Linked DNA regions of Caenorhabditis elegans. The protein of the gene in region 3 interacts with the protein of the main gene of each other region in a pairwise test. Each region holds a gene or a part of one and is shown on either strand. Other genes may lie near its edges.

Region 1 (7,028 bases), on a different chromosome or scaffold from region 3:
CTAAAAAAAAAAAAGAAACATGGATGGAAAGGGTGTGTTATATGAAATTGGACGAAAAATGAAGAGAATACAGAGAAACGAATGGAACTTGAGAAGAACAAAAACAGGTTTTCCTGTGGAGATGACGGGGGGGGGGGGGATTGGCTAAAGGCGTCGAAGATTTATAATATCTTCCTGGTCGCGTTGCGAAATGGATGGATGGACATTGGTGGCAAACGGGCGGTGGGGGAAATGGCAGAAATTGCAAGAAAATTCTGAACGAAAAACTTCTAGTATGTAGTACTTTTTTGCAGTCGGTGACGAATGCCCCGCTGCTGCTTGGGTTGAGGATAGCTCATTGGCAAATAGAGAAGTTACGAAATATCTGAACAGGTTTTTTTTTCTGTTGACACGTCATTCATGCTTGTTTTAAATGTTTCCAATATTTTTAATTAAAACTTCCAAAAAAAAAACCCTCTTAAATTGATAAATTGAGAACTTATAATTGAAAATACAACAGTAGTAATAAAAAAATGCTAAAGTTGAACCAGTGTTTATTAACTCCATATTGTTCACAGAAACAAAAAAAAATAACAAGCATTACATCAAATTGACAGAATTTCCAAAAAAATTAGCTATTAGACTCTGTGTGCTTCAGAGTTTGTTGTTCGGGTAATCGAGTTTCTCCATCTCTCGGTTGTTAGCATTTACATTTCCATGCGTCATCGATACCTAAAATATTTATTTTCAATAATTGGCATTTTCTGAATGATGGGTGGGGGGTGCAGCAGCGCATTTTTTTTATTGCAAAAAAAAATCTCACCTGTTGTGGATTGAATTGATTTCTAGAAATCTGATTCGATACAGAGTCATCAACTTTTCGCTGCTTCTGCTGAAACGTGTCATCCAGCTCAAACTGATTCCTCCACTCGTTCTGATCCTGTTGTCGTGGCCGCGCCCGTGATTGGAGGTGCTGTTGGGAACTGCTCTGCGCTTGTGGCATGTGCTGGCGTTGTTGTTGCTGTTGCTGCTGTTGCTGCATTTGCTGTTGCTGGAGCTGCTGTTGGAGTTGAGCCTGTTTCTGCTGCTGCTCCAGTTGCGTTCTAGAAATTTCTACATATATAATTTTTCTCTCTTTAGTTTTAAAATTTCTTGTCTATTTCGAACACCACAAAATTTTTGGTAGTCTCCTGATGACGCAATTATTTTCTCTGAGTTTGTGTCATAGGAGCAGCTGTCCAAAAAGTCCAAAATCTCATAAGGTTCACACGAGACCAAACTTTGTACTTGTACTTACCGCTGTGTCTGCTGATACTGCTGCTGCTGTTGCTGTTGTGGTTGAGAGTACTGATAGTTTGGATTGTGGTAATTTTGCTGATGAGCAGAGAAGCGTCTTCTCCCAGCATCAACTTCCATGGCATCTCCTTCGTCAAACGATGATGTGACGGAAATTGGGTTGGCAGAAGATCCAGGCGCCTGGCGATACATCCCGTTATCTTCCACATAGACTGATCCAACCGACGGAGATTCCATCACTTGACTCATTTGGCTTGACGGCTGCTGTATGTACAATTGCTGTTGTTGCTGAAGGTTCGAGTGAGACACCGGCTAAAAAATTAAATATTGAAAGAAAATTTAAAAAATTTAAATTTTAATAAAAATTAAAAATTAAATTAAAAAAAACACACCGGTTGAGATGGAACTCGCTCTTCCTTCTGCTTCAAGAACGGATGCCGAACCACATAATAGGGCGAAATTCTTTGTTTGGGGTCAAATTGCAACATTCTCTTTATTAAGTCTTTGAATTTGCTGTAATCTTCAACAGAATGTCCTGGCTCTCCAAGCCGGCGACCTCCGGGCCCGCCAGAAGTCACACCCAGAATTTCGTGAAGTTTCCTGGCTCCAGGAGCTTTGTAGGTATGGCGGTATCCGTCACGAGTCTTCTTACAATAGTAGATCCCATCCTCAGTTTTGTCAAAATACTTGTGTGTTTTCGGGCCAATGTCTAACATCTCTTTTGGTGGCATACCAAGAACTTCCACAATTTTCATCATTTGGTCAACCTCCGATGACCCGGCAAACAGCGGCTCTCCGGTGTGCATTTCGACGAGAATGCATCCCAGGGACCACATATCAATTTTCGTGTCGTACGCGATGCCGAGCAGCACTTCCGGCGAACGATAGAATCTCGACTGAATGTACTGGTAGATTCGGTGTCCAGTCTGACAAGAAGATCCAAAATCTATCACACGAATTTGAGACCGCTTCGCGTTAACTAGTAGCACATTTTCCGGCTTCAAATCACAATGGATAATCGATAATTCTGGAGATGACAGGAAGAGAAGAGTTTTTCCTAATTGCTGGGCAAATTTGCGTGCCAAATTCAACGAAACGCCACGGAAACTGGTGTTCTTCAAAAGATCATAGAGGTTGTAGGAGAGAAGCTCGAATACCAAGCAAAGATGAGCCCGATGCACAAAGTGCCCTTTGAGCGTAACTGAAAATTTGAAAAGTTGATTCTATCAACATTGAATATGTTAATATGTCATGCAACTTACCAATATTATACTTATTATCCTTGTCATGTGCATTTGTCAATTCTAAAAGATGAATCTCAATCTGAGCTTGATCGAAGAAAGTCTTCTTATTCTTGATAATTTTAATAGCGACTTCTTCTTTATTCAGCGTGTCGTAAGCTTTTGTAACTTGCCCGAAAGATCCTTTGCCAACCGGCGTGTCACTGAGAATCACGTATCTGAAAAATAGGCTGTTAGTCAAATAAGTTTCGTGCTTTCAGCATACCTCTTGTCAAATATCTCTCCATTTTTAAGAATATAGTCGTAATTCTGATCGTCATACCCGTTATTGTACGGACCGCCACGACTACTTTTCTGTCGCTGCTGCTGTTGAAGATCAGTCTCTGTGCGCATAGGAACAACCATTGTTGAGGTGGGCGGAGCATTAGTGTCAAGTAGAGGAGGACTGAAAGTCAAAAAAAAAAGTGAACTCTTCAAATATCACACGAAAACAACATACGCATTTTGATGAGCATCTTGCTGATAATGATTATCAGAACTCGTAATTGGAATCGCATTGTGAATGGAGAATGTGTCAGTCAGGCTCGCCCCGGAACCATCCTTGGATCCCTTTGGCTTTCCGGCATCTTGACTCTTGTGACGATCACGTCGAACCTGTTTCCGTAGGTAGAAAGACTGAAACTTTTATAGCGGTATTAAGACTCTCTTCCATCTTCGCCTACCTCATTGATAGCCTTGTAAGTTTTGATGAGATCACTGGTTAGTTTTCTGACTGGCGCGTCTTGAGGATTTCGGAATTGTTGAATTTGGAGTGGCTTTGAGGTAGCTGGAATGTGTACAATTTATTTTTATTTTTTATTCTTATAATATTTTCACAAAAGCTAGCCAAACTTACATTCAAACGGGATACCAATCATTCCAATTCCAGCCGGAACAGTATCTGTCGAGAACTGGCCAATATTTCTCTGAAACTTTTGAGACATATGTGTCAAGAAGTTGAATCATCTAGGCTGTACCTTCTTTGCGGCTTGTTTTTCCGGAGGCATTCCGGGAGTTAGTGCCGCTTCTGCATTAGTCATGGATACGCGATGCTTCTTTGGCCGGACTTGGGTGACCTGAAACTTGTAAGATTGCAACATTAGAAGGTACTCTAGGATCAGTCTGAAAAAGCGCTTGCAGAATTTGGAGCGGGGGCAAAAACTATCAAAGGACAAAGTGATCATTTCGGAGACTGAAAAAGTTGTTGAGGTTGGGCATGGCCACGAATGTGCAGAGCGGTAGTATAACAACAGGAGAGACAAAACGTCCGCACCGCAATGCAAACGCAAATGCTGATTTCTTGTTGAGTGTGTAGAAAAGAAAAGAGATAGGGGGAGAGGAAATGATGGGAGAGAAGAGGGAAAAGAACGGAATAGTGTAAAGCTCGACTTTCGCCCTTCAGTGATTACTGCCCTGTTGCATAAGAACACCCGATGAAGGAAATTATGTGAAAACCTAGAATTGATTGCTGCAACTATGTGAAGCACGTCGGTAACTGATAAGAAATTTGAACAGATTAAACTAGTTTTTTTTTTGTTTTTTGAACTAATAAGCAATTAGTTAAATACTAAAATACTAAAAAAATTAATAGCAGAACACCTAAAATCTTGATAAATTACTACCATTCAAATTGAGAAAAAAAATCAAAAATTTTGGTAATGTTCAATTAGTAGGCTTCAGTTAACAGGTTAATTTTAAATGTAAAAGTAGTTGATTTTGAAACTTTAAAATAAACAATTCTACTACTCATGGGATTTGTTGCCAAACAAATTTAAATCTTAACGTTGATGATACTATTAAAACTGTAAAATAACATTGAAAGCTTGCAAATACAAAAGTTCATATTTTGATACAAAAATGATACGAAAAATCTTCAGAATCCAATTTTTTTTCCATTTTTTTCCAGGAAAACGGCAATTTTCTATTAATCACAAAAAATCAGTCAATCGTTATTTTTTTTCAAAATCAGATTCTTTTGAATCACGGTTTTATCAACGTAACAATGGCAACGGCTCATAAAGCTTTATTTTTCAAAAATAGATTTTAGATTTAGAAATTAAAATGAAATATTTTCCAAATATCATCATATTTTATAATTAGTTTATTTTTGCAAATTTGAAATTTATCTGTTATTTTTCAAAATGAAAATTATTTACAGCAATGTGGGGGTGAGCAGCGTTTAAATATTCCATTTTAGAATGATGTGATTTTTTCAAACACAAAAAAAAAAACGTTCTACAAACCTCTTGCTGTGGATAGAAAGCGTGTGAATTCGTCTTAATTGAAGTGATTGGTGGCTGTGGGAATCTCAGAATGTTGGAATGTGGTTGACGGCTTTGTGCAATGAAACGTTGTGCATTTTGCTGTTGAATGTGTTGCTGCTCTTGCTGTTTTTGCTGCTTCTGAAGTTCGTCAGCTTGCACGTCTTGAAGTTGAAAGTCCTCGTTCATCGGTTCGGTGTCGCAAAGATTATTGTGATTGATAGGCGGAAGATTAGTCATTTGTGAGTGTTGCTGGGTATTTGAGTAACTTGATGATGGTTGTTGGCCCCATGATTGAAGATTGTCAGGCACGTCTGCTGTGTTCATGTTTTCCTGAAATTTTTTGAAAATTTGTTAAAATCTTCAAACTAATTATGACAATTTTCAAGAGAACGAGCAGAATAGAGTAAATCAAAAAAAAAAACATAAAAATTTAATATTCAAAAGAGAATATAACAAGAAAAAGATTAAAATTCACGGAAAATTGCAATATTTGAAATATTTGAAAAAAAAATTAAATTTTACAAGAAAAAAACAAGTAGTTCCACTACAATTATTTATGAAACGATAAAAATTCATTGGAGAGGCAAAGAGAAACACGGAGGAGAGATCACATGTGAATGAGAGGGCTCGAAAGAGTGTGGTGAGCGGAGAGAGTCGAGGACACGCAACGCGACACGCAGCGCTCTCAACAACTGATGAGAGAGTGGGGAACATGGGTTAACGGGGACGAACGGAGTGGGGACGAACGGTGGAACGATACAAAGACACAAAAAGTTCTGCAGCTGGAAATGGTTCGAGCAGGTGCGCCATCTGCCACAAAGAGTTACATTTTACAGAAAAAAAAGTTCCAGGTGGATTATGTATTTAAAAAGGGGTGTATTGAAAAAGTATAACACGTGATATTTGATAATAAGACCACAACTTAAGGATTGTGGTTTGAAAAAAAAACTATTTTATAAAAATGAAAACTTAACATGAGAAATCAAGAAGATTTGCGTTTCGAACCCCGTAAATTGAACTTTTTGTTGAGATTTCAATGCACTTCGAGATAATTGAGGGTTTTGCTGTAATTTTGAAAATTTATTCTGAAACCTTTAACAAATCTTGAATTAACATTTCACATGGTAACACGCATATAGTTTGAGAAGTGGAAATCATTAAAAAAAGTAATGTTCGAATTCTACCTCTGGGAAAGAACTTATTTATATGGGAAAACTTGAATAAAACTTACGCTTTACGCACGTGATGCCAGGCTGTCCCACTACGGTTTGTTCTACAAAAAATGCGGGAATTTTTTGCTCAAAAAAATGTGACGTCAGCACGTTCTTAACCATGCGAAATCAGTTGAGAAGTCTGCGTCTCAACTCCCGAATTTTTTGTAGATCTACGTAGATCGAACCGAAATGAGACACTCTGGCACCACGTGTTTACGGTGTATAAGCATCAGTTTATTGTCGTTTTTTCTGGCCCGATCTCGGGATATTTTTTTCCAAATAATAAAATTACAGGTGGCCAAGCAACATAGTATTTTGAAAACATTTTAAAAAAATCTTTGAGTTTGTCTATAAAATATTCTAACTCTAAAAATTAGCTGCGTTTTAAAATATGTATCCTCAAAAACTAAGTAAACTTATATTAAAGTACAAAATTGTATAAACACGTCTAACACAATACAAAACACTTGCAGAAAATAAAATGTTTTATTTTGAGTCTTCTATGAAACCATTTCAAACATATAAAACATGAGAAATAAACCTTTCCAAACTCAAAAAAAAACTATAAAATATCATAGGAGATTCGATTGAAGTTCCTCAAGAAAAATCTACTGACAGCTGCCGTTGGTGGACTCCTGCCATACTGAAAGTGCATTTGTAAATTTAAAGTTCATAAGAAATCCGTGCTCTTGATACCTTGATACATACTTGATACAACAAAAAACGAAAAAAAAAATCAAAAGCTATTCAGAAATTTGTGATGTTTGGTTTCAAAAAGATACTTGTTTATCGCTTTGATCTTTCAACTTTTTTATAATAAGAATTGTTTGCTTATATTTTTTATACGTTTCAGACATTTGAATTTTTATGCGGTTGTTTAAGTGTATTACATAATTTTTAGGGTTATGGTATCCATTTAAACAATACATTCATAATCACCAGCTTTTAAACAGAAACTTCCAAAAATTCGCATGAATTAGCTCCAAGCACTCTGA
Region 2 (3,457 bases), on a different chromosome or scaffold from region 3:
AGGACTGGGGCAACTGGGCATGTAAGTGAAAAATTAGTAAATTATTTTGTGATATAAATATTCACAAAAATTTTTTAAAAATTCTCTAAAAAACGGAAAATTTTGAAGGAAAATTGTTATATTCTTTTAAAAAATCAATTAACAAAATAATAGAGAAAACCATTTTCTTTCTGGAAAACCTCTAGAAAGTACAATTATTTTGTCAGTTGACAATTTTCGGCTAAAACTGAAGGCATAGGCTGCCAAAGTTGAGCAAAGACATACTAAATGTTTCACCTTTAAGTGTAACTTATTCTTGTCTTGTACCTAGCTAAAGCACACAAAAATTTTAGTGAAAATTTTACTCAAAAGTTTGGCACATTTAAGGCAGGCCCAGCAATTTTCAGCCGATACATTTTTTTCAAATTTTCAGCCAGGACACACGGGCCGTCCCGGACGAGATGGAAACTACTGCGAGTGTCCGCCAATGTCGCGACGAAATCCATTTTACAATTTGTTGTCAGCTTAATCAAATAAACAATTTGACATCATCTGTTGTGTGGCTTCAATTTGATGTGATTGCGTGTAAACTAGACCCTAATTTACCGTATACATTTGGGAGGGAGGAGGGTGGATCCCCCTCCCCTCCCCACGCGAAAACACTTAGGAAATGAGATGTCAAGTGCGCTCTAATACCAGTTGGATACAATATGACGCAGAGTTTTTGGTAGGATTTAGTGAGAAAAGAAGTGAATTGAAATTGCACAAACATGCCTGCAAGGAGACCTACGCATGCCTGCTGTTTTACATCGAAAATTGATTGCAATGAAAAAAGAAGTAGGTAGAACACCAGAATTAACGCCAAAATTCAAAAACTAGGCGACAGGCAGGCAGACATGAGGCCTAGCTGGCAATAATACCTGATTTTTAATAAAGACTGGCAGCTACCTAGGTCCTGCTACGGGCAAAATATTTCAGCTATCGTACCCGCGAGAATTTTGCCAGATTTTATATTTTTGAAAAAAGCTAGATTTAAGAACCGCAATTATTTTTAAAATTCTGGCAACCAGGGGAATTTGAAATTAAGCATATTATTAAGTTCAGAAAGTGAGAAAATTATAAACTAAAATTTTTCAATTTTTTTTTTAAACTACAGAAGTTCGCTTTTGGAAAATTGAAAAAAAAAGACTTTGAACAAAATTAAAATTGCTTAAATTTTAAAAAAGCTTGCACATTTTTTTGCAAAAAAAACGCTGTCGAGAATCCTTCCTACAGTACCCCCTAGCTCCTCCCACTTTGTGGCTCACTTCTGGAGCTCCAACCCCGCCCTCGAGTCTTGCCGGATCTGTTTTGGATAATCCCGTTTTATTGTCAATTTTGTGTCGTTAACCAATTTTTCCGGTGCCGTTATAAAATTTGAAGATTTTAAATAAATTTTCGATGAATTCAGATAAATTTCAAACCGAATCAATGAAATTAAGAAAAAATTGCACACGAGCAATATATTCTGTTTTAATGTTATATTTAATCGAAGAGAATAACTTATGAATTTGAGCATAGAGCATAGAGGATTAACCTTAACTCTGACTCTACTCAAATACCTGTAAAGTGTCGGCTGCTTCAGCACAACTTGTGATATACCGAATAATTATTTCCTTTCCCTCTATTAATATAACTTCTTGTTTAACACTTCTGAATTTATCAATCTGTTCCAGGCGATGATGATGGAATACGGTGGCTATTTTTCAAGTAGCGCCGTGGCTCAACAATCAGGCGATGTTCCAACAACTGCACCATCTGCAGTTACAAATTCATTTTTCTATACACCACAGTCACATAATATTTATCACCAATATGCAACTCCGTATCTACAAAGTGGACGGTGAGATTTTTTTCCAGTTTTCTCCCTGTTATACTAAGCCACTTTTTTCAGTGCCTTGACAACTGCTCACAATACTTCAAGCTCTTCAGCGGGCAATTCCACATCTTCATCATCTTCCTCATCAAACTACCGTAATACAACACACGATTCACTACAAGCTTTTTTTAATACTGGTCTACAATATCAGTTGTATCAAAAATCACAATTAATTGGAAGTGATACGATTCAGAGGACAAGTAGCAATGTTTTGAACGGACTGCCAAGAAGTTCTCTTGTTGGTGAGTGAAAAAATCGGGGTATAGGCTCCAATTAGTCTTGACCGGCTGTTCTACTTTGACAGCCTATATCTAGATTGCATATAAATTGTGTGCAAAACGCGGAGATGGCGGCTGCTGGAAAACATAATTTCACAATTTTTGTGCTTAATTTCTTTTTTTCTTATTATCAAGTATGAAAATATGGAAACATATATTTTACTTTAAAAAACCTTTTGATGAAACAAAGATAACCGAGAAAAAGGTTGTCAAAGTGGAGTAAAGGGGGTCCAAGACTAATTCGAAAAAAAAACTTTTCCAGGTGCTCTCTGCTCAACCGGTGGAGCTCCTTTGAACCCTGCCGAGCGTCGAAAACAACGCCGAATCCGTACCACATTCACATCAGGACAACTGAAGGAGTTGGAAAGATCATTCTGTGAAACTCATTATCCAGATATTTATACACGAGAAGAAATTGCAATGAGAATTGATTTAACTGAAGCCCGAGTTCAAGTGTGGTTTCAGAATCGGCGGGCGAAGTATCGAAAACAGGAGAAGATCAGAAGAGTTAAGGACGAGGAAGAGGATCCGTTGAAGAAGGAACCCGGGCAAATTAGTTTAGAAGAGATTATTGATCAAATTTGAACAAAAAATGTAAAATAATTGCTTGTGATCTCTATTTATCTCTTCCTTTTTGTAATTATTCAAAAGTAGTGCTCACTTAAAATTGTATAAAAGTAAAAAACCGTGCTGAATGTGTCTCTATGTCAGTTTTTTGTCCAGAATCCCATTGCTTCTCACTTTTTCAATTTATTGTTTTTTTCAGGAATAAATATAAGTTCTCAAAATCTTGAAACTAGTAACACCCATTTTTACGGCACTTTTACGAAACTTCCTTTTTCTGATTGTTGTGTTGAATTTTTATTTGGAAATTTATATAGAAATATGAAATAATATTTGTGCGTTTTGAAAATAATGCTAACTTTAATTGAAAGTTTTGAAAAAATTCCCAAAAACTGTCTCAAAGCCGCAACCTATTTATGCCGACCGGCCCATTAAGTATGTTTTTGAGCAACTTCTTAAACTTTTCAACTGAAATTATCATTATTTTCAAAAAGTACGAATGTTTCTCTATAACTCTGTATATAATTCCAAAAAACCATCGGCAAAAAAGTTCCGCACACCTCTGGAGCACATCTATTAGGAAATAATTTAAATATACATATATTATTAATTTGAAATAATACTTGCGTAAATAACATTAAAATAAATAATCGAAAAATAAGTAAACGCCTCAAATCTTCTCGTTTTTCTTTTCCTTTTCCGTATCCGGACCTCGTTT
Region 3 (3,709 bases):
AAAAGGCTTTAAAATTGATGTAAATATTTTTATTTTTTTCGTAAACTGAACCCTAAATTGATAAACGGAAAAACTGATAAAAAGTTATGATGAAAAAAACAAACAGGAAAAAGAATTGTTTTTGTTTACAAAATATAGTTTAAATTTTAAATTCTCTGAGTTCGAAGAGGACTTTTTTTCAAAATCGTTTTGTCGCGCGGTCAGCCTTTGGTTTTGAGCGTTTCTGAGAAAAATTTGAGTAGATCACACGTAGATCATATTATATCTTCTTCTAATTTCACATTTAAATGTGCATTTCTATAGATTTTCCCTAAAATTTTGTGTGATCTACACTTGATCTGCCCTAAATTTTCACAGAAACACTTAAAAACTTGTTTTGTTTTCTCGTGAATAATATTTTTCTAATCAAAATTTTAATATAAAGGAACCAAATAAACATGAGGATTTTCAATTAAACAAATCTTTTGAAACAGTAATTTTTCCCGGTGAACAAAATTGCAGTAACCAAGTTTAAAAATTCCATATTTTTTCACAATTTCCAAGTAAACAAAAACTAAATTTTTAAACAAATAATTTTTATTATAAGCACATAAAATATGAAATCCTGGCTACAATTGGTGGAATATTGTCATAGTTTCCTCCATTTTCGATCCAGCGGTTCGTTACAAGCCTGGAATTTAATTGCTTTTTATTTTAAAAATAAAAATCACTTACTTCAAAATTTTCCCATCACAACTATTCCCAGAATAAGTAGTTTCTTCTGTTGATACTGCTAGGAGGAGTACAGTTTTTGGGATGGGAAAAGTTCCATGGTCCGCAAAGGCATGGAGCACTAAAACTGCATCCCATGCAAGAAGATCAATATTTGTCAGGACTGCTGTTCTAGGTGTCATTTGTGATGCGAGAGCTAAAGTGGTAAGTGAAATAAATTTCAAGAGATTTTCGGAAAAATACATTTACAACTATATAACGTAAGTGTCAAAAATGCCCAAAATTAATGAACTTGGTGAAACAGTTAAAAAAAAACTAACCATTGTTCAATATTGCATGTAGCTCTCCTCTTTCAAGTTGATTTCCAATTTCAATTGGTAAATTATTTGAATTTGTCTCTGATTTAGAATTTTGAATTGCCTTGTTTAATTTTTCAGAAAACTCATTAGCTTTCAAACCAGCAATAACTATGACAAGCGGAGCATGTTCATCTGGATGTAAAAACATTTGTTCACCAATTAATCTCAAAAGATTCCGATTTTCTTTTGAAATATCTGAGAAATCCGAATTGACAAAGGATCTTACTGATTCTATGTAGTTTTGGTAGGGGTTTCGATCCTGTAAATAAGCAAATTTATTTGTCGAAAGGAACAAAGTTATGTGGAAAAATCAAACCTGGTTTGGTTCATTTTGAAGCATTGAAAAAGTTCCTTGAGATATAAAAAAAAGTGCAGAGAGCAAAAGAATCAGCAGTGTCATTATTAAATTATTCGAGATTTCCCACTTTCTTGAAAATGTCTTTGATAATGTTTTGATCATATATTTTCTGTCGAATTGAACGGCATCTGAAGTAGCATGTATATTGTTAATAGTTACATTTCTGGACTTTTAGGGGAAAAAACTCACGGCTTTTTTCGGCAATGCACAAATTGCAAATTACATTTCCACCAGCAAGAACAATTTCCGTGTTTGACCAAATTTTCAAAGTGCAGAATTGGCATTGCGAATAATCTGGAAATCGTTACATTTCTGAATAGAAAACTACGGATTACATTGTAGGTAGATTTTTAGATAGGCCTTACCTACAGCAGGCGTTACGTTTTTTGCTATCTTTTTTGTGTACATATTGCTACCTATTTTAGAATCTAATTTTGCATAAGTTTACAATTTTTTAATTTATTCTAAATTTGCCTAAAAAATTAAAGAAAACAAAATTTTTTGGCGTTCTACAAACTTTAAAAACTCACACTGAGTTTTCTTGTTGAATTCCATTCCCATCGTTCCACTATTTTTCCGCGGAGTCATCTGAGGATGATAATGATATTTAAAAAAAAGAAAAACATGCATAAATTAACAAATTAATAAGTATTTGGAACTTCAAACCACTTAAAGCCTTAGAGAACACCGAACCATAAAAAATATTGAACACAAATTTATCAACATCTTGAAACAGGAGAAAATACTTTCACAACTCATCATTAAACTCTTTCTTCGAATTGAGTGAGAATCCCATCTTGGAAATTTCGAGATCAGTCTTTGCATTCACACGTTTACATCCTGACGAGGAAAATATTTTGCTAGATTCAGGGAAAAATTCAAGAGAATCAAGAACTCTTTGCATGAATTCTCCATCCTTTGCCAAATCATGTCTTCCGCGTTTTCGAAGATGTACTTGAATGCACTGGGAAACGTAGAACTTAGATAAGGGAAGAAATGGTATAAAATGATCAATAAGTTGATTAGAGATCATATCAGTGTTACGAAGACCACCTTCTTCATTGAATGCAGAAAGCATCAGTGTTCGTTCAAAATGCTTCAACTCGAGTTGTGATCTTATTTTACCATTTTCATGATGTTCTAATGCGATATTAGCAATTTCTTTGCTCCCTTTGTTGCTTAGAAAAATGAAGATAGTTTTCCGAAAGTCCACTCCAAAGACCGCCGGATAATAATCAAGAAATGGTTTGATCACTTGAATCAATTCACTTTGTAGCTTATCCGTCTCATCAAATATAAAAATAGATCGCTGACATCTTCGGGCCGATCTTATAAGTTGATCTTTCAGTTCCAATTTATAATCCTCAATATACTTTTTATTCGGAAAATTATTTGTTGCAACGAAATAATTCACAAATGGGCTGTGCATTCCACTTCTAAAACATAAACTTGTTTCTCAAAAAAATTTTAAGCAATGAAAAGTTACCGATAAGTATTGTTCACAATAATTTCAGTCACATAATTCTTTCCAGTGCCGGTTCCGCCGTGAAATGAGAGAACTAGCGGCTTCTGAGAATGCTCATTGTGCCAATGAGATTTGATTGAATGAACTACAGATTCTGCCATCAAGTGCTGCCCGAAAATTTTATTATCGAAATCTTTGTATAACGCTGAAATGTAAAGTTTAGAAAAATATTTAAAAAATAAACGGTTTTTCTTTCAAAAGTATCAAAAAAAAAAGTGCGAAAAATGCTCCTTATCACGGAGCACAACTCAAAATTTGTATATAGCTGTGTTTTACATTAGAAACAATTTGCATGGTGTTCTGAATTTTGACTGAATTTCTTAAAATATTGCTACTCACCATGATAATTGAATATATCCGTTTCACCGCAGCAAGTGTAAAATAAACATTTTAAAAACATTGGCATTGATAAGCTGTGGACATCGACGACTAATTGATTAAGAATGATAACGAAAATAATATATTTAAAAAATTGCATCTTTCTTTCAGAATAAAACAAAATATTTGACAAGTGAGAAGTAAAGGAAAATGAAATGGAACAGAAGATGTCGCTTGTTATCTGCGTATTCTTGCTAACATCAAAATATCCATGAGAAATCACACCGAAAAATAGATTGATGCACTGATAACGAAATTTGAAGATAAAGAAACATTGAACATAGAATTTAAATTTCAATAGAAACCATTTTTCAGCGAACTTTTTCATTTCAAAAGGGCTGATTTTATTCAAAAACATTTTTGTACCAATTCAATTTT
Region 4 (4,934 bases), about 12 Mb from region 3:
CAGGCTACTTTTTCGAATAAAAAACACTGTTTCTAGAAGAAAAATTCTGAAATTGATGGATTTTATTACCGGAACACATAATCCTGAGAATGCGTATTGCACAACATATTTGACGCGCAAAATATCTCGTAGCGAAAACTACAGTAATTCTTTATATGACTACTGTAGCGTTGGTGTCGATTTACGGGCTCGATTTTCAAAATGAATTTATTTTTCGAATAGTGACAGCGATTTTCCTTTTTTTTTTCGTATTATTCTCTCATGTTTTGCTTAAAAAAACGAGCTCGTAAATCGACACAACAGCGCTACAGTAGTCATTTAAAGAATTACTGTAGTTTTCGCGACGAGATATTTTGCGCGTCAAATATGTTGTGCAATACGCATTCTAAGAATTATGTGTTCCCGTAATAAAATCCATCAATTTCAGAGTTTTTCTTACAGAAAAAAGTGTTTTTTTAATCGAAAAAGTAGCAAAATAGTGAATTTAAGAAATTTTAGGGGAACTTTTTATTCGTTTTTTAATTTTTTTTTAATAAAAAAAATTCAATGTGGAAGTTTCGGAGGCTGCTTTTTACTTGAAATGTAGATTTTTCAACGGAAAAACTGAAATTTTTCGTTTTTCATTTTTTATTTTCAATTTATTTTTAACTGAAAAATTGCAACTTTCACTTGAAATTCATCATTTCCTTGTTTTTTTTTCAATTCTCAAGAAATCCTAAAAATTTCTGAAAAATAATTTATTTTAAAGTTTCATTTTGTTCGATTTTGAAGATAAAATCTTCAAAATTTCATTTAAATAATTAAAAAATGCTCGGAGGTTTTTGGAGTTTTCTATTAAAAATTTCAATTTCTGGCTTGATATTGTCCTTTTTTGTCAGAAATGTTTGCTGCTTCGGAGCTAACATGAAAAACTAATTTTTTTACACAAAATCCTGCATTTTCAAGCTAAAAATGCTCATTTTTGAGCTCCATAAGCCTATACCATTCGTCGAGTGTAGCCGGTAGCGGAGCCTGTGCCGCAATAAATTCAGTTTTTCCACCAGGCAATTGAATTAGTGAAGCGTTCATATATCCTTCGGGGTTTTCACTGTCTTTTTGGATTTCCACACGATTTTTGTCATCTGAAATGGCGAAATTTGTGCTTAAAAATTGGAAAAAAACGGATTTTTTTTATTTCAAATTTTAGAGTTAATTAAAATGGGTATAGCGTCGTCAAAATTCGAAAATTTTTGAGAAATTTCATCAAATTTGGTCAATTTTTTTATTAAACAAAAAAAAAATCAGTGAAAACGTCAATAAAAACGTATTTAATTGCATTAAAAAATTTTTTCAGAAAAAAATTGCGGATTTTTTGCTAAAAATGGCCAGAAGGCTTCAAATTTCGTGAATTTTGAATATTTTTGCAATCTGAAATATTTTTTTTTGGTCAAATTTAAAGAAATTCTCGATTTTTCTGAAATGGGAGGCAGATAGCTCAGTCGGTAGTGGTGGCCGCTAGCAGTCTGGAGGTCACGAGTTCAAGTCCGGCCTCACCCCTAGGTTCACCCAGCCTCTATTGGGAAGTGGAGCAATCCACGACTGGATTATCGGCCACAGTCCCCGGCTAAGACGTGGCTTAAATTACAGCCCAGAGGGATCACCACCAGGCAATGTACCTGAATCCCAGATCCGCAGTGCAAAGCACTTGAAGAACGGATCGTCCTTTAATCCTTTTTTTTAAAAAAACACACAGTTTTATGCGATTTTTCCCAAAAAAAAAGTGTCAAAATTCTCGCTTTTCCTGCTTGAAAATGACGCTATACCACACTTTTTGGCGAAAAATTCGATGAAAATCAAAAATTTACACGGCAAAATGTCGCGATATCGATTTCGAGCATAATGTTGCGGTGCGACGGCACACTCTGACCGATATTCGGCTTCCATTCGCAGTTTTTCCTGTTCCACTCGGATTTGCTGAAAAAAAATCGATTTTTGTGGGTTTTTATCAGGTGGAAAATGGGGGAAAACTGGCTGAAATCGACCCTAAAATCACCAAAAATCAAGTGAAAATTGCTTAAAATCTATTTAAGTCGTTGAAAATGGTGCAAAATTTGGCGAAAAAGTGCAAAAAATCGACAGAATTCGTCGAAACTGTCAAAATTCCATTAAAATGAGGTTAAATATTCGAGAAATTCGCTAAAAATGCTTGAAAACCTATAAAAATTAACAAAACTGTCTATTCTCGGCAAAAAAAGTAGAAAATTGCCATAATTTAACGGAAAAAAATGAGGAAAATCGTTAAAATTAGACAAAAATTGCCGGAAATTCTCGAAATTGGCTATATTTCTAGGGAAAAAGTCATGAATAAATCGAAATCTGCGAAAAATTTCCAGAATTTTGGCAGTATTCGCTATAAATAGTTTTTTTGTTGAGAAACTCGTCAAAAATCGGAGAAAAATTGTGTGGAAACCAGTGAAAATGACCAAATTTTGGCGAAAAGTGTCAAAAATCTGTGATTTTCGTTTTGAAAAAAGTTTCGACCGAAAATTGACAGAATTTGGCTCGAAAATCGCTAAAATTCGACCAAACTTTGGCTAATTATCGTCGAAAATCGTAGAATTTCGCTGGATATTCCCTAAATTCGACCAAAATCCGTACATAAAATCTGCGCAAATAGTCCTGCGGCGTGTAGGCCTCCTCTTCCTTCAGAAATTCGCGCAAAAGCCCATCCATCGCCGGATTTTTCTCGAAAATCACAGGATTTCCGTTGGGAACTGTCGTCGCCGCCCGCTCCTCCTCACTTTCGAACTGAATTAGATCGCCGGTGGGTACTACTGAAAATTCGTGTTTTTTAGCCTAAATTTTCGCTATTTTCGAACCATTTGGAGTATCTTTGACTACTGGATTCGATGTAGGCAGTGGCGGCGGTGGGCTTTTTGGCTTTTGTTCCTGAATTTCCTGAAAAAAAACCAAATTTTATGGGTGAAATCGGGTGAAAAACGAACTGGAGGGCCGCCATCGTTCCAGACGGATGCCGATGTGTCATCTGACATTCGTTGTGTGTTTCGTTACCTGAAAAACGCGAAAAATTGGCTTGCAATTCAAGTTTTTCAGTGAAAAATTTGAAAAAATCGGTAAAAATCCGGGATTTCCAGTAAATTCTCTGAAAATCGCAGCTTTATTTTGGAAATTTAGACAAAATTTAGATTTTTTCGGCTGAGAAATGAAGAAATAATTTAAATTCAAGGAAAATATTAATTTTAGGCGGGAAAAAGGGAAAAATAGGCCAAATTTGAACTCAATGGTTTTTTCAAGGCAACACACGAATAACGAATAATACAAGCAATTTTTGCGTTAAAATTATATTTTTAGGCATAAAATATTCGATATATCCCTATAAATTAGGTTATTATGATGAATTTGCGAAATTCTAGTGAAAATTCGTTTTTAGTCTGGATTATACGGCAAAACACGGATTTTGGGCCTAAATTTGGGCGAAATTCAGCCTAAAAATCGAAATTTCTGCGTGAAAATTTGCGAAATTCGCTCAGAACTGAATAAAAAAGTAGCGGCCCGCGGGTGAGTCATTGTGTGAATTGCGATGGGGGGGGGGGGGAGAAAAATGCAAACGCGCTCCGTTGCAGCGGCGCGAATTTGAAAACTAGGCGCCGGGGATGTGAAGGTCAATTTTTGGGGTTTGTTTTGCGGTTAAGTTTTGAAGTTTGGCAAAATTGTTTTCAAAATTAAAAAAAAATCGAAGGCAACGACGCTCCGATATTCCGCCAGAACAGTGTATGCGCCTTTAAAGTGAGGTTACTGTAGTTTTTGATTTTTGCCGTGTTTTTTTAGAGTTTTAATAAGAAATCGAGAATTTTCACCAATTAATTTGCGGGAAACTTGTTTATTTTTCAAAAAATCTCTCAAAGAATTCGTTTTTCGTTCATTAAAATGAAATTTTTATGCAAAATTCTAATAATTCTGTAATAATCGTTTCGGGACCCAAGTGTAAATTTAATTCCATGCGCCTTTAATTTTTTAAAATCGAAGATTTTTTTGTTGTCTTTTTCGGAGATTTTTAGCTTCAAATTATTGGTTTTTAGAGGAATTTCGGAAGGTTTTTTCGTGAAAAACAAAGTTTTTTCAAATTTTTTACTAGAAACTGTTGAAAATTTCAACAATTTTTTTGCAGAAAAGGAGGCAGGAATCCCCTGAAATTAAAGTCTAAAAGAAAGCCGGAAGTACAACAAAATCAGAAGACTAGGCTCTCTAATGCTCTCGCCACTCTCATAAAACTAAACTCGAGGCGGCGAGCGATTCCTGGAATTCGTTCGTGCTTTTTTTGTTGCTGCAGTCACGTTTTTCGTGAATAAACCAAACTCGCGTACTTCTAGTGGAAAAATTAGTAAAAAAACTGAATTTTTCCAGAAAATATACTTAAAAACTGAACAAAAAATTCAAAATCAAGAATTTTAGCAAAAAAAAACCGAAAAACCTTCTCGGGGAGTACACGAGCCGCGAGGTTTGGTTTCTGGGGTGTTTATGCCTAAAAAGTGACTCAATCGATGAAAAAAAACTTTTTTTTTTTTTGAAAAAGTTTGAAAAAAAAACTGAATAAATAAACATTTCTGGGTGAAAAGAAGAAAAAGAAGAGAGATAGAGGTGAAAAAAATGACGTCCGCCGCCGCCGCCGCAAACACCGTCACATTAATTTGCACATAGACATTTACTGTCACTCTCGCGCCGCGTCCCCGATTCCTCGTGTCACCGCGGCGCAGCGCCCCCTACACACAGTTTTTTGTCTCTGAGTCTCTCGTGTTTTTGTGCACTCTCGCTCTCTCCGCTGTGAGCTCTAATCTGATTGCGGCGACGGTGGGAAAATGGGTGGCCAGGGAGAGATGTGTGGAAGATTGATCGGAAAATTCCGATTTTCTAGTAGTTAGAGGAATTTCTTGAGA

The links.
Region 1: the proteins of gei-18 (region 3) and mbk-1 interact in a two-hybrid assay, tested with the Caenorhabditis elegans proteins (one large-scale study listed by BioGRID).
Region 2: the proteins of gei-18 (region 3) and ceh-17 interact in a two-hybrid assay, tested with the Caenorhabditis elegans proteins (one large-scale study listed by BioGRID).
Region 4: the proteins of gei-18 (region 3) and ptpn-22 interact in a two-hybrid assay, tested with the Caenorhabditis elegans proteins (one large-scale study listed by BioGRID).

What each region holds. Positions count from the first base shown.
Region 1 is NC_003284.9:14,819,392-14,826,419, forward strand, and holds mbk-1 (Dual specificity tyrosine-phosphorylation-regulated kinase mbk-1), read right to left. Parts: upstream 5,150-7,028; 5' UTR 5,144-5,149; coding exon 4,799-5,143; intron 3,632-4,798; coding exon 3,533-3,631; intron 3,482-3,532; coding exon 3,412-3,481; intron 3,343-3,411; coding exon 3,239-3,342; intron 3,192-3,238; coding exon 3,016-3,191; intron 2,962-3,015; coding exon 2,782-2,961; intron 2,735-2,781; coding exon 2,538-2,734; intron 2,477-2,537; coding exon 1,668-2,476; intron 1,588-1,667; coding exon 1,277-1,587; intron 1,083-1,276; coding exon 803-1,082; intron 712-802; coding exon 634-711; 3' UTR 518-633; downstream 1-517. UniProt on the Caenorhabditis elegans protein: Possible role in the function of olfactory neurons.
Region 2 is NC_003279.8:4,568,265-4,571,721, reverse strand, and holds ceh-17 (Homeobox protein ceh-17), read left to right. Parts: upstream 1-1,694; 5' UTR 1,695-1,697; coding exon 1,698-1,861; intron 1,862-1,912; coding exon 1,913-2,139; intron 2,140-2,437; coding exon 2,438-2,760; 3' UTR 2,761-2,957; downstream 2,958-3,457. Other genes in the region: col-52 (Collagen triple helix repeat protein), read left to right, coding at 1-21, 413-508; idpp-10 (Intrinsically Disordered Protein, expressed in Pharynx), read right to left, coding at 3,410-3,457. UniProt on the Caenorhabditis elegans protein: Probable transcription factor involved in postembryonic differentiation of the ALA neuron, and regulation of genes that contribute to behavioral quiescence, a sleep-like behavior mediated by ALA.
Region 3 is NC_003282.8:13,980,508-13,984,216, forward strand, and holds gei-18 (GEX Interacting protein), read right to left. Parts: upstream 2,019-3,709; 5' UTR 2,017-2,018; coding exon 1,959-2,016; intron 1,723-1,958; coding exon 1,618-1,722; intron 1,557-1,617; coding exon 1,387-1,556; intron 1,330-1,386; coding exon 1,032-1,329; intron 970-1,031; exon of another isoform or gene 949-969; intron 908-948; coding exon 715-907; intron 671-714; coding exon 580-670; 3' UTR 555-579; downstream 1-554. Other genes in the region: tor-2 (Torsin), read right to left, coding at 2,177-2,864, 2,915-3,098, 3,293-3,353.
Region 4 is NC_003282.8:1,734,834-1,739,767, forward strand, and holds the start of ptpn-22 (Protein-tyrosine-phosphatase), read right to left. Parts: upstream 3,052-4,934; 5' UTR 3,033-3,051; coding exon 2,985-3,032; intron 2,938-2,984; coding exon 2,859-2,937; intron 2,814-2,858; coding exon 2,638-2,813; intron 1,954-2,637; coding exon 1,845-1,953; intron 1,122-1,844; coding exon 983-1,121; intron 1-982.